Linked DNA regions of Lonchura striata. The protein of the gene in region 2 purifies or fractionates together with the protein of the main gene of each other region. This does not show direct contact. Links are inferred from orthologs where the notes say so. Each region holds a gene or a part of one and is shown on either strand. Other genes may lie near its edges.

Region 1 (5,367 bases), on a different chromosome or scaffold from region 2:
CCCTGGCCCATCACATCCCCACCATGGTGCTGTGAAGCCCCCGGGATGGCAGCAGGATGTGGGACATCAAAGACTGATGCTGAGACATGCAATGAACTGGGGGGGTGACCCTTGGCTGAGCTGCTTTGTCTCGGAGGAGTGTTGGGTTGTTTTTGGGCATCGCTGACTGCAGGGGGTCGGCAGGAGGGAACCCCCAGCTCTGCAGCTGAGTTGTGGAGGAGCATCCCCAAGGAGGTGTGGCTGGTGCTCCCTGGGGTTGGCAGAGGAGAAGGGGTGCAGTGGGATGTGCTGTGTGGGTTTGCCAGTGCACTGCGGGAGGACTGGGAGAGCCGAAAAGCTGGGCCTGGAGGAGCCATGCCTGGATTTTACAGATAATTTGGTAGAAAGAAAAATTCCTGTTATCTGTCCTCCTCTGCTTTAGCAGACACGTGCCCCACTGAAATGTTGGCACGGCCCTGATGTGGCCCCCCCAGTCACACCTATTTGCCCTGGGAGTGACTTTGGTCCTGGTGGCTCCTTCCAAGGGACACCTTTCCCTCTTTGGGAGCCCCGAGTTAGTGAACATTCGCATTTTCCTGCACCTGAGCCCCCCGTGCCCGCCCTGCTCCAGCCAGAGCCGTGCCCTGGGGTCTGTCACCGCTCCAAGCCGTGCTGTGGGCAGAGGGGACACGGTGCCAGCTGGGAATGCCCATCCACAGGCAGGTTCTGCGGGGAACCTGAGCTCTGCCGGGCTCTTCTCCCCATCCCTTTCCCAGCTGTGAGGGAACATTCTGGTTGGAATTGCTACTGCCCTCTGGGGACAGAGAAAACCTGTCCCCGGGCCAGCTCTGTCCCCAAGGACAACTCTAAGCGCCCTCTGGAGTCCCCACACAGCGGAGGAGGGCTGTGTATCATAAATCTTAAAAGAAGGTATTCTAATATTAATTATAAGTCTAAGATGTATAAAGTTCTCACAAATGTGTTTCACTTCCAGAAGAAAATAAACAAAAACAAAAGAAAAAAAAAAAAACCCACCCCCAAACAACTGTCACTTTAACTTTGTAAATATTTATGTAAACATTATTTACAAGACTTTGATATTATATATTATTTGATTGTATATGTACACAGTGTAAATACATTTGTACCTCTCTTGTATTCTAAATAAAAATTACTTGGAACATTTATCATTTAGAAGAGGGATTGCATGGAGAGCTTTATTTTATGTGCCAGGGGAAGGATGTGGGTGTTGGGATGAATGAAGGTCTCAACTGCCACAACAATGTGTGAGTGAGGAGATGCGGTGTCATCTGTTGGACCAAGAATACACCTGGGAGGGGAAAAAAACCAGGTTTTGGCTAAAGAAGCCCTTTTTCAGGTCTGGAAGCTGGGGTAAGGGCTGGCTCACTCCAGAGTGGGTATGATTCTACCCTGCCAGTCCCTATTCTTGTGAACTTTTACAGCTCCTCTTTGAAGCCACAGCCACTGGACATCGTTTGATGCATCCCGTGAATTAGCGCCCATATTTCGGCTGTGATACAGGCGGGATATGGGTGTGGCATACAGGTGTAAGCCCTGCTGGAAGGAAGCGACATTATTTGCTGATGGCCATCGCAGCCCTGAGACTCTAACGGTGCTTGAATGGATTAAACTTTTCCACGGACGTATCAGTTCGTGCTGGCACAGCTCGGCCGAGGGGAAGGGCTCATCCACGGGGATGTTTAAGCCCAGAGTGAGCAGCGGCCAGCTGGGGAGGGCGTCAGAGGATGGCCCTCAGCGGGACACCTTGTGTGAGGGGCACCCGAACCGGGGGTGAGCCCCGGGAGAGCCCCGTGGCGTTCCCCGCGTTCGCCAGGAGGGTTCTGAGGGAGAGGGTCACTGCCCGGGGTGCCCTCACTAAAGATGGCCGCGGTTCCCTTTGGGCTCCACCGGAACGAAGCCCAACAGGCCCCTCGCTGCCAGAAACAAACATGGCTGCCCAGTCACCGCCCCTGCCGCCCTCACTCAAGATGGCGGCGCCCGCGCCCTCAGGCGCGCTTTCGCCAGCAGCCAACATGGCGGGCGGAAGGCGCGTACGGCGGGGCCAAGATGGCGGCGGTCACCATGAGGCTGCCGGCGGCCCGAGCGCCCCTGGATTCCAGCGCGCCCCGGAGCGGCGAGAAGCACCTGGTGGCACCGGGGGACACGATCACCACGGACACGGGATACATGAGGTGCGGGCAGCGGCGGAGGGGAGGCGGCGGGGCGGCGCGGCTTCGGGCTGTCCTTAGGTAGCCGCCGTCTCTCCGCAGGGGCCACGGTACTTATGTGGAGGACGACAAGCTGATCGCCTCGGTGGCCGGCGTGGTGGAGAGGGTGAACAAGCTGGTGTGTGTGAGGGCGCTGAAGGGCAGGTGAGCGCGGCGGCGAGGCCCGCTGTGAGGTGAGGGGTGTGGGGTGTGAGGTGTGGGGAGTGAGGTAAGGGGTGTGAGGTGTGGGGTGTGAGGTGTGGGGTGTGAGGTGAGGGGTGTGAGGTGTGGGGTGTGGGGTGTGACCGCCGCTCTCTGCCCCAGGTACAACGGCGAGATCGGCGACGTCGTGGTCGGCAGGATCACCGAGGTAAAGCCCCGTGTTTGTGCAGGAGGAGGAGCGTGGTCGTGGATCAGTCCGACTCTAAGCGCTTCCCGGGAGCCTAAAACACTGACACGCATCAGTGTCCGTGCACAGGGTGCTGGGAACGTGTGGATTTTTACTGGAATGAGGCTGGAAGAAGCCAGCAGAGCTTTCCCTCCTGCAGCTCAGTGCAGTTTTTGATTGTGTACCCATAAGTTTTGGTGGCTTTTTCCCCTTTAGGTTCAGCAGAAGCGATGGAAAGTGGAAATAAATTCCAGGCTGGATTCAGTCCTGTTGCTGTCGTCTATAAATTTACCTGGTGGGGAGCTGGTGAGTGTAGCTGGTTGTGTTTTGTGTGGCATCTTAAGGGCCCCCACAATGAGCTACTGATGGATATTTCCTCGTTCTGGGATACGTGTAACTTTTCTTGTGATGTTTCAGAGAAGGAAATCAGCAGAAGATGAGCTTGCAATGAGGGACTACCTGCAGGAAGGGGATCTCATCAGTGTATCCTGCTGCTCCCATTGACAGAAGAGCCAAGGGCATGGGAAGAACAGGGAGAGCTTGGCTGGGGGTGAGAGCTATGCTGGGGTGGCACTGGGCAGCCTTAGGGACTCTGTTTCCTTAAGTGGCACCGACAGGCAGAGGTCCAGTCTATATTTTCTGATGGGGCTGTATCGCTGCACACCCGGAGCCTGAAGTATGGGAAGGTGAGTTATTCCAAAGCCCTTGATCCTGGGAAAAATCTGCACCAGCTGACTTGTACAAGGCTTTTTAAAGAAAAGAGCTCTGAGTAGAGCAGGATGTTGTTATAACCCATTCCTGCAGGACAGGAAGACTCTCAGCTCTTCCACGGGACCACCAAGAAAAGTTTCCCCAAAACAGAGGAGGTGTCCTTGAGTTGCCCTTTGATCCACTGCTCTCCCCATCCACAGTTTCAGCCTGCTATTCTGTTTCCCCCCACTAGCCACTTAGGAATTCAATCCTGGGGAGAGATCTCCTCACTCCTTTCTGCTGGCTGTTGCCCCTGTGACTTGTTCCTCTCCCCAGGGCTCTATTTTAGGCTTTACACAGTTGGCATTTATCTCTGGTTTTGTGCATTGAAATAAGCCAAGGGGCCATTGGAGCGTAGGTTGCAGTTTGGGATTACCAGACCAAAGGTATTAACACTTAAAAGATGAAAGGGAAGTGTGCTTATTGCACAAAGGGTGAAGGACAGTGATTGGATTACCAGAGAAAGTGTTCTGCTAAATTGGGCCTCTGACTCCTCATTTTTCTGCAGGGATGGTTGATGTGTAGTTACAATCAAGATATTATTAACATTTGTGCTAAGCACTTAGAGTATTCTTCATCTTCAAAGGGCTGTGCAGGCAATTAGCTAATCCTCCCAGCGCTGCCAGAGGCAGGCAGGTTTTATATTCACTGTTTCACAGGAAAAGATGTTAAAACAGTGTTATTCCTAGGCCAGGAATGGAGTGAGTGTGTATCAGTGACTTGGTGTTATCTGTGGTGGTTCATGATATCTCTCACACTGAGCCTCGTGGTCTGCTCTCCAGCTTGCCCAGGGTGTGCTGGTTCAGGTCTCTCCCTCCCTTGTGAAACGCCAGAAGACTCATTTCCATGACCTGCCCTGTGGGGCATCCGTGATCCTCGGCAACAATGGCTTCATCTGGATCTACCCAACCCCGGAGCAGAAGGATGACGAGGCCGGAGGCTACACGGCCAACTTGGAGGTGAGCGTCCAGGGAACGTGAGCCTTCTTCTGCCAGTGATGGTTTTTAGTCTGACATAGTCAGAGGCACGTGAGGAACCCGAGACTTTCAGGATCTTGTGTTAGGTTCACAGCAAGGCTTTTTTACTTGCATTATTTCCCTGTGCATTCATCCCTTTTCCTCTGTCCTTCCTCAGCCAGTTCCCTTGTCTGACCGGGAGGTGATCTCACGGCTCCGAAACTGCATCATGGCTCTGGTTACTCACAAGATTATGCTCTTTGACACCAGCATCCTATATTGCTATGAAGCATCCCTTCCTCATCAGGTACAGGAACCAGTAGTGTTTATTCCACACTGAGGGGAGGGAACAGAAAGGCTGCATCAGTTGCTGCTGAAGTCAGAGTTTCCTTTCAACTTACCAAAGCACCCTGTAGTAAGCGACAGTATGAACTCTCCTCTTCTGCACAACATAAGTTGATTGCACAATTTTAAGGTTCTGCCTCTGGCAAAGACTAACTGTTCTTAAAGAGAGATCAGTTCCGTTTTTGATAGATGTTGTGTATCCCTTGCTGGGATTATGGACCCTTTAATTCCTGTGGAAACAGTTTTAAATTTGGCATTGTATGAGGGCACAGTGCATTTTATGAAGCAATGAAAAAGTAAATGTCATGTATTGTACAGAGAGCAGGCTCATGACTGTATCCACATCCTGCACTCTGGAAGACTACCTCCATTTGACCTCTGGCTGTACAGCTTTTCACTGTGATTCCTGCCAGCACAATCACGGGCAATTCTCTTCCCATAAGTAAATGAGATCTGAATTCTGCTTTAATTCTAGTGAGGTATTCTTTTGAAGTATAACTCTGCCCTTCCCAAATACAGTGTGTGTCCTTCAGGGAAGATAAGGAGGGTTAGTAGCCTCTCCTTTGATTTCCTCTGGTCTCTGTCAGAATCCTCAACTGGTAAAATTAATTATGCCTTGGACCCTCTGCCTTAGGTCTTTTTTCACCAACCCTCTAAACTCCCTTGCTGGTTGCTGTCATGTGTCAGGGACCTTTGTCTCCCCACAGAGTGCAGAAGTGTA
Region 2 (5,367 bases):
TGCGAGAGGCTTCAGCACCAGCCTGCTGACAGAGTCACCCCCAGCTCAGGGGATCCCCCAAACCCCACAATTCTGGGGTGGGGTGGCAAAGGTGTGTGACTTTCCCCTCGGGGCTCTGCTGGGACTGCGGGGTGAGGGAGATTCGCTTTTTTCGCGTTCCCTTTCCCGAGGAGGAAGCCGAGGAAAGCCTCGCCCCTGGGAGGGAGCAGCGAGGGCTGGTGTGGCCCGGACAGAACAGCCTTTGTTAGCAGAGCAACGAAAGGAAAGCCAGCCCCGGCGTGCTGAGCCACCCGGGAGCCCGGCTCGCCCACACCGAGCTCCCAGCAGCGAGAATTCCACAGAATTCCCGGCTGCTCTGGGCTGGGAAGGGACCCCAAAGCCCGGCCAGGGCACCTTCCTCGCTCCCACGGTGCTCCTTGGGCAGCTCGGCGATCCACAGCTGCTCTGGTTTAAATTCCTCTGAAAACACTTCCGAAAATTCTTATGTTGATTTAATTCTAGCAAACAATGGGAATAGAATTTTCTGTAGAAAATGTTTGTGCTCTACTCCTACTTTCGACCATTGGCCGCTAATCAAGTGTAACACTATTAATTAAATATATTGGGAAAGGAAGTTTTTCCCTAAAAAATGAAGTGCCCTGCATGGCTCAACTCATCTTTTTAAAAAGACCCCAGAAACAGCAGAGCAAAAGTTTCCACCTCCAATATTCCTCAGCTCCAAATACAATTATTTACTTAATTAGCTTTAATTATAATCACAGGGCTAATATTTCATTAAGCAAAACCTGATCAATTGGAGAAGTCATTATTTAAGATGCCTCCTGCCAAAAAGAATAACAAACTTCAATCATCTAGCGAGGGCAGCAAAACTTCTGCCCAGAAGTTTTAAAAAACCCCAGATTTTGTGATTTTATCAGCCCTGAGCCCATTGAGAGGGGCAGGTCTGAGCAGATCCTGGGCTTTGTTTTACTTCACCCAGGAGGAAACGGGGCCTGCTCCTCCTCTGAGAGTCCCTCCCCAAAAATGACATTTCTAACATCAAAATGAGCAGCAGGATGACCGCAAAAGTTTGCAGAAACTCAAAACCACCCTGAGTTTTTAAAAAAATCAACCCAAAATCCCTTCCTTTTAGCCAGGAGACAAAACCAGTACCTGAAGGTGCTCTCCAGAGATTTTTTTTTTTTTACTTTGACCTCAAAGGTTTTTCAAACATGTTTAGACAAAAAAAAAGGCCAATTAATTATCCTCTTGCCTGGACTTTCAGCTTATGAGGCTGATTTTGGGGTGGTTTTTCTTCTCCTTGGCCACAAATTCCCTACTGGGAGCTCTGGAGTGATCACAACCCATTAAAGGTTTAAAATTAAATGTGATTAAAATTCTCTTTTAATGTACACAGAGATTTTACTGCTGGCAGAAAATAATTCTGATCTCTCAATGCCCAAAAACTGGATCAATTCTACCAAATCCAAGAGCTGCAAATGAACAGAAAATAACCCAAGAGCTCTGACTCACAGTGACCTGAGCACACCCCTGCAGTCACCGAGCACTTTCAGGCAGAAAAACTGATTTAATTTGTGCTGGGATAAACCCCCAGCACAGGAGAAAGCCTCGCTCAGCCCTGCCCTGCACACCTGTGGAGCTGGATGTGCTCCCTGCTCCCATTCTGCTGCACTCACACACCCACCTGGGGCAGCTCCTGCAAGGAAAAGGACAAAAACCAGGCCCAGGATGTTTGGTTTGGGCATAAAAAACTCACCTAAAACTCTCAATTCCTTTTTACACTCATCCCTTAACACGTGGGTGATGTACAAGCATGTAATGGTTAATAATGGGATTTCTGTGAGGGACCTGAATATTCCACGATCTTCAAACTGGAGAAAAGTGTGGCTTTTTTAGAAATACCGGAGAGTTCTTTGGAGTTTTTGTTGTTTACTACGGGCACACTGAGATTGTTATCTTCATTTGCTGCACTTCTTGTCAGCTGCAATCCTAATTCCTCCCCTGCCTACGAGTTGTGAATTGCTAAATAAATACAATTTCATTCTCTTCTAGGCATCAACTGCAATAATAAAAAAAAACAAAACAAAATAAAACTAAAACCTGTTGTTAAACCACTAAGAACCAGAGCTCAGAACTTGTCCCTACCACACAATCCCCAAACAAACCCAACAGCTGCGTAGCGACAAAGTGGAAACTGAAATTTTAAAAAAAAAAAAAAAAATCAACATTCACAGTAATAACAAGCAGAAATTCAAGCGTTATTTTAGCGAGGGGAAGTAAAGAAGAAGCAAAGAATTTCGTCAGCGCCCAACTTTGGATAACAAACACCAGCGAAAGCTGATTGTTTTAAGGAGAAAGAACCCGAATTTCACCCCGCCTCGGTGGTTTTTTCTTTCCCTCCTCCCCATCGCAACGCCACAACTATCGCGACTCGGCCGCAAGTTTCCTGCCGGCACCAATCCCGGTGGAATCCCGGTGCAATCCCGGCGCAATCCCGGCGCAATCCCGGCTCCCGGGGCCGGGCTCCCCCCGGGGCACCGACCCCCGCTCCTCCGCCGCTCACCTGCGCTTCCAGCGGGCCCGGCGCTCCCTGCCCCGCGCCGGGGGCGCCCTGGCCCTGCGCCGGCCCCGCCTGGCCCGGCCCGGGCGGGGTCTGCGTCTGGCTGGGGAGGGTGAAGTCGGTGAACTCGAACTCGGAGCCCTGCGTGTCGGCGCCGAGCAGCTCGGCCTCCTCGGTGTCCAGGAAGGTGAGGGTCTGCGAGCTGGGGCCGTACGCCTCCACGCTCATGGCGGCGTTCTGCTGCGGGCCGGGAGGATCCGTCCTCCCCACCCTCACCCCGCCCCCGCCGCGGCAGCCGCGGGCTTCCCCCTCAGCGAGCCCGGGCGGCCGCGCTACGCGAGCGGCGGGATGCGCCGCGCGCACCAGGCCGCGCGCCCCAACCCACACGCACAAACGAACCCGCCGCCGCCGCCGGCTCGCCGGGCGGCCCCGGAGCTAACGGGCGGGAGAAGGGAGCGGAGCGGGCCCGGGAGTGCGGCCGGGCTCGGTCGCTCGGTCGGTCGGTCGGTCGGTCGGTCCGTGCGGCCGCGGCCGCCGCGCGCCAGGCCCGTGAGCGGTGACGCGGAGCGCGCGCGCGCGCGGGGGGGCGGGGGGGGGAGGACGCGCCGGCGGCAGCGCGCGCGCGCGCGGGGGGGGTGGGGGGCGTGACGCACGCGCAGCACGCACCGGGGAGGGGAGGCGCGGCGCGGCGCGGCCGCCAGGGGGCGCGCTGCGCGCCCACGCAGCCCGCACGGGGAGGGGGCGGGGCTTGGCGCTGAGTGACGGGTGTGGCGGCCAATGGGATGGTGAGGTGAGAGGGAGGGCGGGAGGGAGCGGCGCGCGGAGGGAAGGGGCGGGGTTTGGCGGTGAGTGACGGGTGCGGCGGCCAATGGGAGATCGAGATGAGGGGCGGGGGCTGAGGGGGTGGAGAGGTCACTGTGAGGGGATGGGGTGGCTGGGCACCCGTGAGGGGTCACTGTGAGAGGATGGAGTGGCACTGGGCACTTGTGAGGGGTCACTGAGGGGATGGACAGGTCACTCTGAGGGGATGGGGTGGCACTGGGCACTTGTGAGGGGTCACTGAGGGGATGGACAGGTCACTCTGAGGGGATGGACAAGTCACTGTGAGGGGATGGACAGGTCACTGTGAGGGGATGGAGTGGCACTGGGCACTCGTGAGGGGTCACTCTGAGGGGATGGACAGGTCACTGTGAGGGGATGGACAGGTCACTGTGAGGAGATGGGGTGGCACTGGGCACTCGTGAGGGGTCACTGTGAGGGGATGGGGTGGCACTGGGCACCCGTGAGGGGTCACTGAGGGGATGGACAGGTCACTGAGGGGATGGGGTGGTCACTCTGAGGGGATGGGGTGGCTGGGCACTCGTGAGGGGTCACTGAGGGGATGGACAGGTCACTGTGAGGGGATGGGGTGGCACTGGGCATTCCTGAGGGGTCACTGAGTGGATGGACAGGTCACTCTGAGGGGATGGACAGGTCACTGTGAGGGGATGGGGTGGTCACTCTGAGGGGATGGGGTGACACTGGGCACTCGTGAGGGGTCACTGTGAGGGGATGGGGTGGCTGGGCACTCGTGAGGGGTCACTGTGAGAGGATGGAGTGGCACTGGGCACTCCTGAGGGGTCACTGTGAGGGGATGGGGTGGTCACTCTGAGGGGATGGGGTGGCACTGGGCACTCGTGAGGGGTCACTGAGGGGATGGACAGGTCACTGTGAGGGGATGGACAGGTCACTGTGAGGAGATGGGGTGACACTGGGCGCTCGTGAGGGGTCACTGAGGGGATGAGGTGGCACTGGGCGCTCGTGAGGGGTCACTGAGGGGATGGGGTGGCACTGGGCGCTCGTGAGCTGTCACTCTGAGGGGACGTGGTGACACAGGGCACTCTGAGGCCACGGGGACACTGTGGTGACAATGGGGTCACCTGTGCCCACCATAAGCTGCCAGCTCTGCCTGTTCCCTTGGAGCTGGCGGGAGGGACACGGGGTTAAGTGGGAATTAAGGAGCGGGAATTACATTAATTCCTGCTCCAGCTGTAATTCCTGTCCCACCTGTAATACCCCACAGCTCTGAGTGAAGGCTGAGCTGCTCTGGGCGTGCTGCACTGGGCATTCTCTGAGCTCAGGGCCGTGCAGAGAACATTTCTACCTTGAAATAAACCAAAAACTTAGAATTTACCCTCATTCCATTCGATCAGAACACAATAAATCCCTTCTTAGTGTTGGGAAAGGCTGGATATTCAGTGCCTTTTCCCGTCCACATTGAGATGCAAATATGTATCTTCTCTTATAAATAACTTGGATTTTATATTCTTGCTTTTGGTGTAGGATAAAGCCCAGCCTGAAACAACATGTACCAGATCTGCGGCTGCTGGGCTGAAAAGATGGAGATTGGAAAACATCCTTGTCCTGGGAATATTGTGCAGCAAAAGGATGGGAAAAAACCAAATCCAGGGAGCACAGGAGTCTCCACTTCTGCAGAGAGACTGAGTTCAACTTCCTTTGAAGCAGAATAAACTGTTCAGACCAAAGCATAACGGGGAGAAGCATAAAATAACATTTGAAGATGAAAGTGGAGCCGGAGCGGGGGGAAAAAATTATAGTACAAAGCCAGGTGGCTGCTTGCTGCAAACACTTTTATTTATTAATAAACACACCTCACTCCTAACGTTTGGCTGCTTGACAGAATCCTCAGAAGTCTTGGAAAGGGATCAAAGTTGTGCTCTCCCTGTGCCTGCAGAGCTCTTTAGGGACAGGCTGGAAATTCCCTCTGTGGGTTTGTCCCCCGAGGGTGGCCCTGGGGACACTCCGGG
Region 3 (5,367 bases), on a different chromosome or scaffold from region 2:
GAGCTTTCTCATAGTGTTTCATGTGTGCCCTAACCAAATCTGCTTGCCCTTGCAGACAGCAATCAGTGAAAATTACCAGACTATGTCAGACACCACCTTCAAAGCCTTACGCCGGCAGCTGCCCGTCACCCGCACCAAGATTGACTGGAACAAAATCCTCAGCTACAAGATTGGCAAAGAAATGCAGAATGCTTAATGCAGAAAGAAGGAGGTGTATGAAAAATTCATGTGCAAAAAAACAAATATGGTCCTATGCCAAGTAGATGGTTTTTAAACCAGAGAAGATTTTTTAGGGCTTTCAAAGTTAACAGGTTTTCTAGCCTGAAAGGGAACCGTGGAACAAATAGTTGTCTTTGTGTTTTGTGTTTCCTGCCACATAAACTTCCTGTTGTAGCTGCATTTAATAGGTCATTTAAATTCAGCCATTCATGGCTCAGAAATATAGCTGTTTTCAGTCACTGGCTGGAAAACTTCCTAGCTGGAAAAGCCCTATTATTACCCCACGAGAGGGTGCAGAGCGTTTCCTTCACCGGTATCCAGCACTCCAGGTATCCAGTAAGTCTGTTAAACCTGCCAAGAGCTCATGGCGCTGCAAGACAAAGTAAGTGCAAGACAGTGAGTTCTCGTGTGTTCTTATTCCCAGCCTCCACAAAGCAGATGCCTGCAGGCTTAGATTTTGCTGTAGAAAATGAGTTTACAGGATCCTTTACAGAATTCCCTACTGACCCAGCTCTTCCAGGGACGTAACTTTTTTTTAATCTGAAGATTTGAGCCATGTTCTCTAAAAGTGAACATCTTTCTTCTCCCCTCCCTCGTGTATGTACGGTTACCAGACATCTGCATTTTTACAGAACTGCAAGATAAGTCACTGCTGATTCACAAGGGCTGGATGGTGACTAAAAATGCAAATGTCTACAAAATAATAGGTATGTTGTGCTTTAATGCTTTGTGGCAGGTTCATAGATTTGTATCACAGGTGTATGGATGGATAGTGTACAAAATAAATAAACTTGCACCAAAGTGAAATTAAAAATCTTTTCCATTTGTCTCAGTTGTGGACAGTTTCTTGTCATGCTTAGAGGGGATTTCGGAATGAATCTGTTCTGTGTGCTTGCTCTGCATTACTGTTTTCCCCCTCTAACATCAAAATTAGCAGTCATAACAGTTTCTCTGGAGGGGAGGACGAAGAGATAGGCATACGCCTTTCTCAGATCTTGGAACATAGATTCACTACAAAGTGAACTCCCTTTGCTTTGTTTGCACTTGGTTATCACTGGGCGCCTTACAGATTCTGTTTTTTAAAGTGGCTCATGTTTTCTTGTTTTTAAATACACAAAGGAAAAACGGTTGGGAAGATTGGGACGGAGTTGTCTGTGAGTTACACTTTAGGTTTTGCACAGTAACACCACAAAATAAGTTTTTATCCTTTGTGAGTTTTATCTAATTAAAATATATTTGTATTTGCTGCTCAGACTGACAATTCACCCCTCAGGCATGCTCTGTATCAATAAGTCTAGTGCAAATACACCAGTCTTTGTTTAAAGCCATTTGTGTCTGTTCTTTCATGGTCTCACTCTTGTTAATTCCTGAAGTCTGGGAAGTGTTGGCATCGCCATCCCTGGAAGTGTTCAAAAATGTGAATGTGGCACTTGAGGACCTGGTTTAGTGGTGAACACGGTGGTGCTGGGTTGATGGTTGGTTTTCAATGATTTCAAAGTTTTTTTCCAACCTTAACAGTTCCGTTATTAAGGCAGGGATGGTATCACTCCAAACCCATGGGTGGTGCTCCCGTCCTAGTATACAGACACAGGACCTGGAGGGCTGAGCTTCCAAACTAAAATAGAAACTATCACAGAGCTTTAATGCAGCTCCTCACCCTGGAAAAAAGGCAGCAAGGAGGTTATTCCACTTACCCTCGGTGTCTTTCTTTAACACCTACTTCATACACTCCAGGTTGTATCCTACATGGGACAAAGCAGGGCTTTTTGGAGGGTTTGCACAGGGCAGACCCATGGACAGTTCAAGAGGCAGCACCCAGGAGAGATGAAAGGTTGTGTGAGCCTCAGGTGCTGTGGGCTGCGGCCCTGGACGCATCCAGGAAATCGCTGTAGTAATTCCAAGAATGTGAAGCCGAAGCAGGGCCCAAGATAAGACTCTGCACACAGCACAGCTTTTATCTGCCTCAAGGCTAGTCTGTCTGCTCCTTGGTTACACTGGAAGCACTCCACCGCCAGCGTTCCAGCCTTAGGAGCGTTTCTATCTCTTTGTCCTTCTCCAAATCTTCAGGTAATCATCCTTCAGACCGACTGGTTCCCCTCTCCCCCTCCAGCCCTCTGAGCCCCGCTGCCGGCCCCCGGTGCGCCCGGGCCAGGTGGGCGGGTCCCGGCTTCTTTTGCTTTCGTTCTCCCTGTGCGACCCAGCCCAGCCCAGCCCAGACCGGTCCAGTCCGGGTCAACCGGGCACTGCTGGATGCGGTACCGGCGCGGCGCGGCGCGGCGCGGCTCAACCATGCCGCGGTGCAGCGTGGCGGAGGGCAGCCTTTGGGGGAATCAGTTCGTGCAGTTCCTGCAGGACACGGGCCGGGAGCAGAGGAGCCTGCGGGAAACGCTGCGGACCATCTACAACCAGGAGTTCCGGGCCAGGTGAGAGCCCTCGGCCAGATCCGGGCGACATCACCTGGGACAGATCCCAGGCCAGCATCCCCAGTGCCTGGCCAGCATCACCGGGGTCTCCAAGCTCGTCTGTCTCACCAAACCCTGCTGGGATGATCCCCAGCTCCGTGGGCCCCCAGCAACTGCCTAGGGATGGCCTTGGACACCCCCTGCCCACCCCGACCTCACCTTGCTGGCACCAATCACACTGGCCCTTATGCACTGTCACCACTGTGACATTGCACGATCATTGGCAAAGCCAGGGCTCAGTGCACTGGTAGGACTGGGAGGAGGAACCTGGGGAGTCAGTGCTGGGAGAACAGTGGCTGTGCCTTAGCAGAGCCACCACCTGTGCCAGCTCAACTGCATGGACAGAGACTGCATGGCTGTCAGGCCAGGCAGTGGGACAGCTGGGATGGCTGTGGCATAGCTGAGACAACAATGGCACAGCTCGGACTTGCTGGAGCAGCCAGCAGGGATGTGAGGTTTGCACAGGCCAGTGGGAAGCCCAAGTCCTTCTTCCTCTCCTGGAGCAGAGGGGACTTGCTGAGAACTCCCTCACTGCAGCCTCGGTGTCCTACTTCATCTTCTCACTTGCCTCACCTTGGGTTTCTGTGCCCATGGCAGCCAAGCCACACTCCCACAGAAACCCTGTCCCTTGTCTCCACAGGACTGATGCAAAGACACCCAGATTTTCCTGCATCTTGTACGCACTGAAGACAACCCAGCAGATTCAGGTGCATGGAGAGGTGGTGAAATTCAAGGTGAGTTCATGCTGGGGCAGTGCCCACCAGGACTGGCTCCTCAGGAGCCCCCTGCAGAATCCTGGGGCCACGCTGGGTCTGGCTGCTCCTTGCAGGTGAAAAGGCGCCTGGTGGTGGCAGACCAGTACCGACGAACCAGAAGGAATGCACAGACATCCGTGTCCACGTCTGCCTCAGGACAGCAGCTCAGCTCCACTCCACAAATGCCCGAGAGCCATGGCAAGCAGTGGTATGACCAGCACCACCCCACCGTGGCATGTCCCTTGGATCCCCCAGCCCAGCTGGGAAAGCCTGACCCTCCCTCCCCACAGGGCCAAGCGCATTCGTGAGAAGCACGGGGTGGAGATCACCTCAGACTGTGACCAGGGCAACGGGAATATCCGCTTCCCAGTGGTGCCGGGTGAGCCCCGGACAGTCACCATCCTGGTGCAGAACTGTGGAAGCGAGGTGGTGACCCTGCAGCGGTTCCAGCTACACAAGCAGTCACGGGAGCTGTCCTTCACCGATGAGCAGGGGGCAGTGCAGGGCCAGTCCCTGCTGTTACACCCAGGTAGGGCCCCTTCCCATCCCCTTCCCCGTGCCCTGCCCTGCAGAGAGGATGCAGGACCCAATCTCACCACTTCACCCCGCAGGTGGGATGTACCCCATCCAGGTGCGGTGCCTCACCACCTGCAACGGGCACTTCAGTGCTCTGGTGGTCTTCGAGTTCACCAAGGAACCAGGCGAGTCCTTCAGCATCTCACGCTATGTTGCTGCCATTGCTGAGAGCCAGCTGGCCAAGGACCTGGGGCCCTCGGCACCTTTCCAGCCTTACGAGGCCAGCCTCCAAAGCTTTGTCACAGTCATCACTGAGGATGGCATCCCCCCTGACAGGTATGTGATGAAGTCACATGCTGCCATCCCGAGCAGAGGGGCCCAGGCTGTTCTTCAGCCAGGACAAGGTTCGCTCCTTGACTGTCTGGCACCACAGGATCGTGCTTCAACCCTGTGCAGTGACAGTGACACTGGGGCTGGGGGCACTATGTAGTCCCTGAAGCACAACTGTACCCTCCACACAGCTCCCTGAAAAATGAACTGGAGACGGAAATCCCTCTGGGTACCTACAGGTACCCAAAGAGCCTCAAGGACATGATCCTGCTCGGACCCAACACCAGTGCCAGCTCCAGCTGGGCTGCCTTGTGGTGAGTGCCAAGGGCAGAGAGCAATGCTGAGGTGTTCCTTGAGTGCCAAGCTGCCCCTGAGACACAATGACATTGCTGCTGCCCTCAGCTCGCTGCTGGAAGCACCTCTGCAGGCTGAGAACTACCAGCAGAAATTCCAGCTGCTGCTGTACCTGGAGGAGATTCAGATGGAGGTGGACATCCGACGCTACGACATGCGGGATGTGACCATGGTGCAGGAGAGAGCTCTGCTGGTTCTCGATGTGCGTAGGGGGCTGAGGGATAGGAGGGGTGCTGGCACAACACTGGCACTCCCAGAGTGCCTGGCATCACACTGGTCCTTTGGCACAGGTGCCTGGCGTGGCCGAGAACCGCCCGTCCCTGCTGAGAGGGGACCACCTCTTTGCCCACCTGAGCAGCAAGCGGGACCACTCCCCACTCGTCCGGTATAAGGGCTACGTGCACAGCGTGGAACTGGAGAAGGTCAGGCTGGGTTTCTCCTCCAAGTGAGTGATGTCTGGTCCCAGCAGCCTTTCTCACAGATGCCAAAGGCCAGGAGTGGGTTGGAAAGGGCTAGGAGGGCATGAGAGAGTGCCCCGTGCCATGCTCACACCATTCCTTCCCAGGCTGCAGAAGAAGTTTGTGAAAAACCTGAAGTTCGATGTGACCTTCACCTTCAACCGGCTGCCACTGCAGGTGCAGCACCGGGCTGCAGTCCTGGCCGTGCGCCGTGGCTTGTTCAGCCTCCTCTTCCCCTCCACCTCCTGCCACAAGTCCCTCTTCTCGGGCCCC

Evidence for each region. Proteins that work in one complex are often made in the same cells at the same time.
Region 1: the proteins of UPF1 (region 2) and EXOSC2 purify together in Homo sapiens (affinity purification with western blotting; 3 studies listed by BioGRID and IntAct, with this or other methods). This does not show direct contact. The link is inferred for Lonchura striata from reciprocal best matches to the Homo sapiens genes UPF1 and EXOSC2.
Region 3: the proteins of UPF1 (region 2) and MOV10 purify together in Homo sapiens (affinity purification with mass spectrometry; 3 studies listed by BioGRID and IntAct, with this or other methods). This does not show direct contact. The link is inferred for Lonchura striata from reciprocal best matches to the Homo sapiens genes UPF1 and MOV10.

Annotation. Positions count from the first base shown.
Region 1 is NW_027461138.1:112,675-118,041, forward strand, and holds the start of EXOSC2 (exosome complex component RRP4), read left to right. Parts: upstream 1-1,986; 5' UTR 1,987-2,067; coding exon 2,068-2,192; intron 2,193-2,270; coding exon 2,271-2,372; intron 2,373-2,531; coding exon 2,532-2,577; intron 2,578-2,811; coding exon 2,812-2,901; intron 2,902-3,012; coding exon 3,013-3,078; intron 3,079-3,212; coding exon 3,213-3,281; intron 3,282-4,127; coding exon 4,128-4,304; intron 4,305-4,479; coding exon 4,480-4,608; intron 4,609-5,367. Other genes in the region: PRDM12 (PR domain zinc finger protein 12), read left to right, coding at 1-35. UniProt on the Homo sapiens protein: Non-catalytic component of the RNA exosome complex which has 3'->5' exoribonuclease activity and participates in a multitude of cellular RNA processing and degradation events.
Region 2 is NC_134630.1:7,317,752-7,323,118, reverse strand, and holds the start of UPF1 (regulator of nonsense transcripts 1), read right to left. Parts: upstream 2,860-5,367; 5' UTR 2,789-2,859; coding exon 2,564-2,788; intron 1-2,563. UniProt on the Homo sapiens protein: RNA-dependent helicase required for nonsense-mediated decay (NMD) of aberrant mRNAs containing premature stop codons and modulates the expression level of normal mRNAs.
Region 3 is NC_134632.1:5,824,740-5,830,106, forward strand, and holds the start of MOV10 (helicase MOV-10), read left to right. Parts: upstream 1-2,461; 5' UTR 2,462-2,469; coding exon 2,470-2,642; intron 2,643-3,321; coding exon 3,322-3,415; intron 3,416-3,510; coding exon 3,511-3,644; intron 3,645-3,726; coding exon 3,727-3,965; intron 3,966-4,047; coding exon 4,048-4,288; intron 4,289-4,473; coding exon 4,474-4,596; intron 4,597-4,684; coding exon 4,685-4,838; intron 4,839-4,926; coding exon 4,927-5,081; intron 5,082-5,201; coding exon 5,202-5,367. Other genes in the region: CAPZA1 (F-actin-capping protein subunit alpha-1), read left to right, coding at 56-196.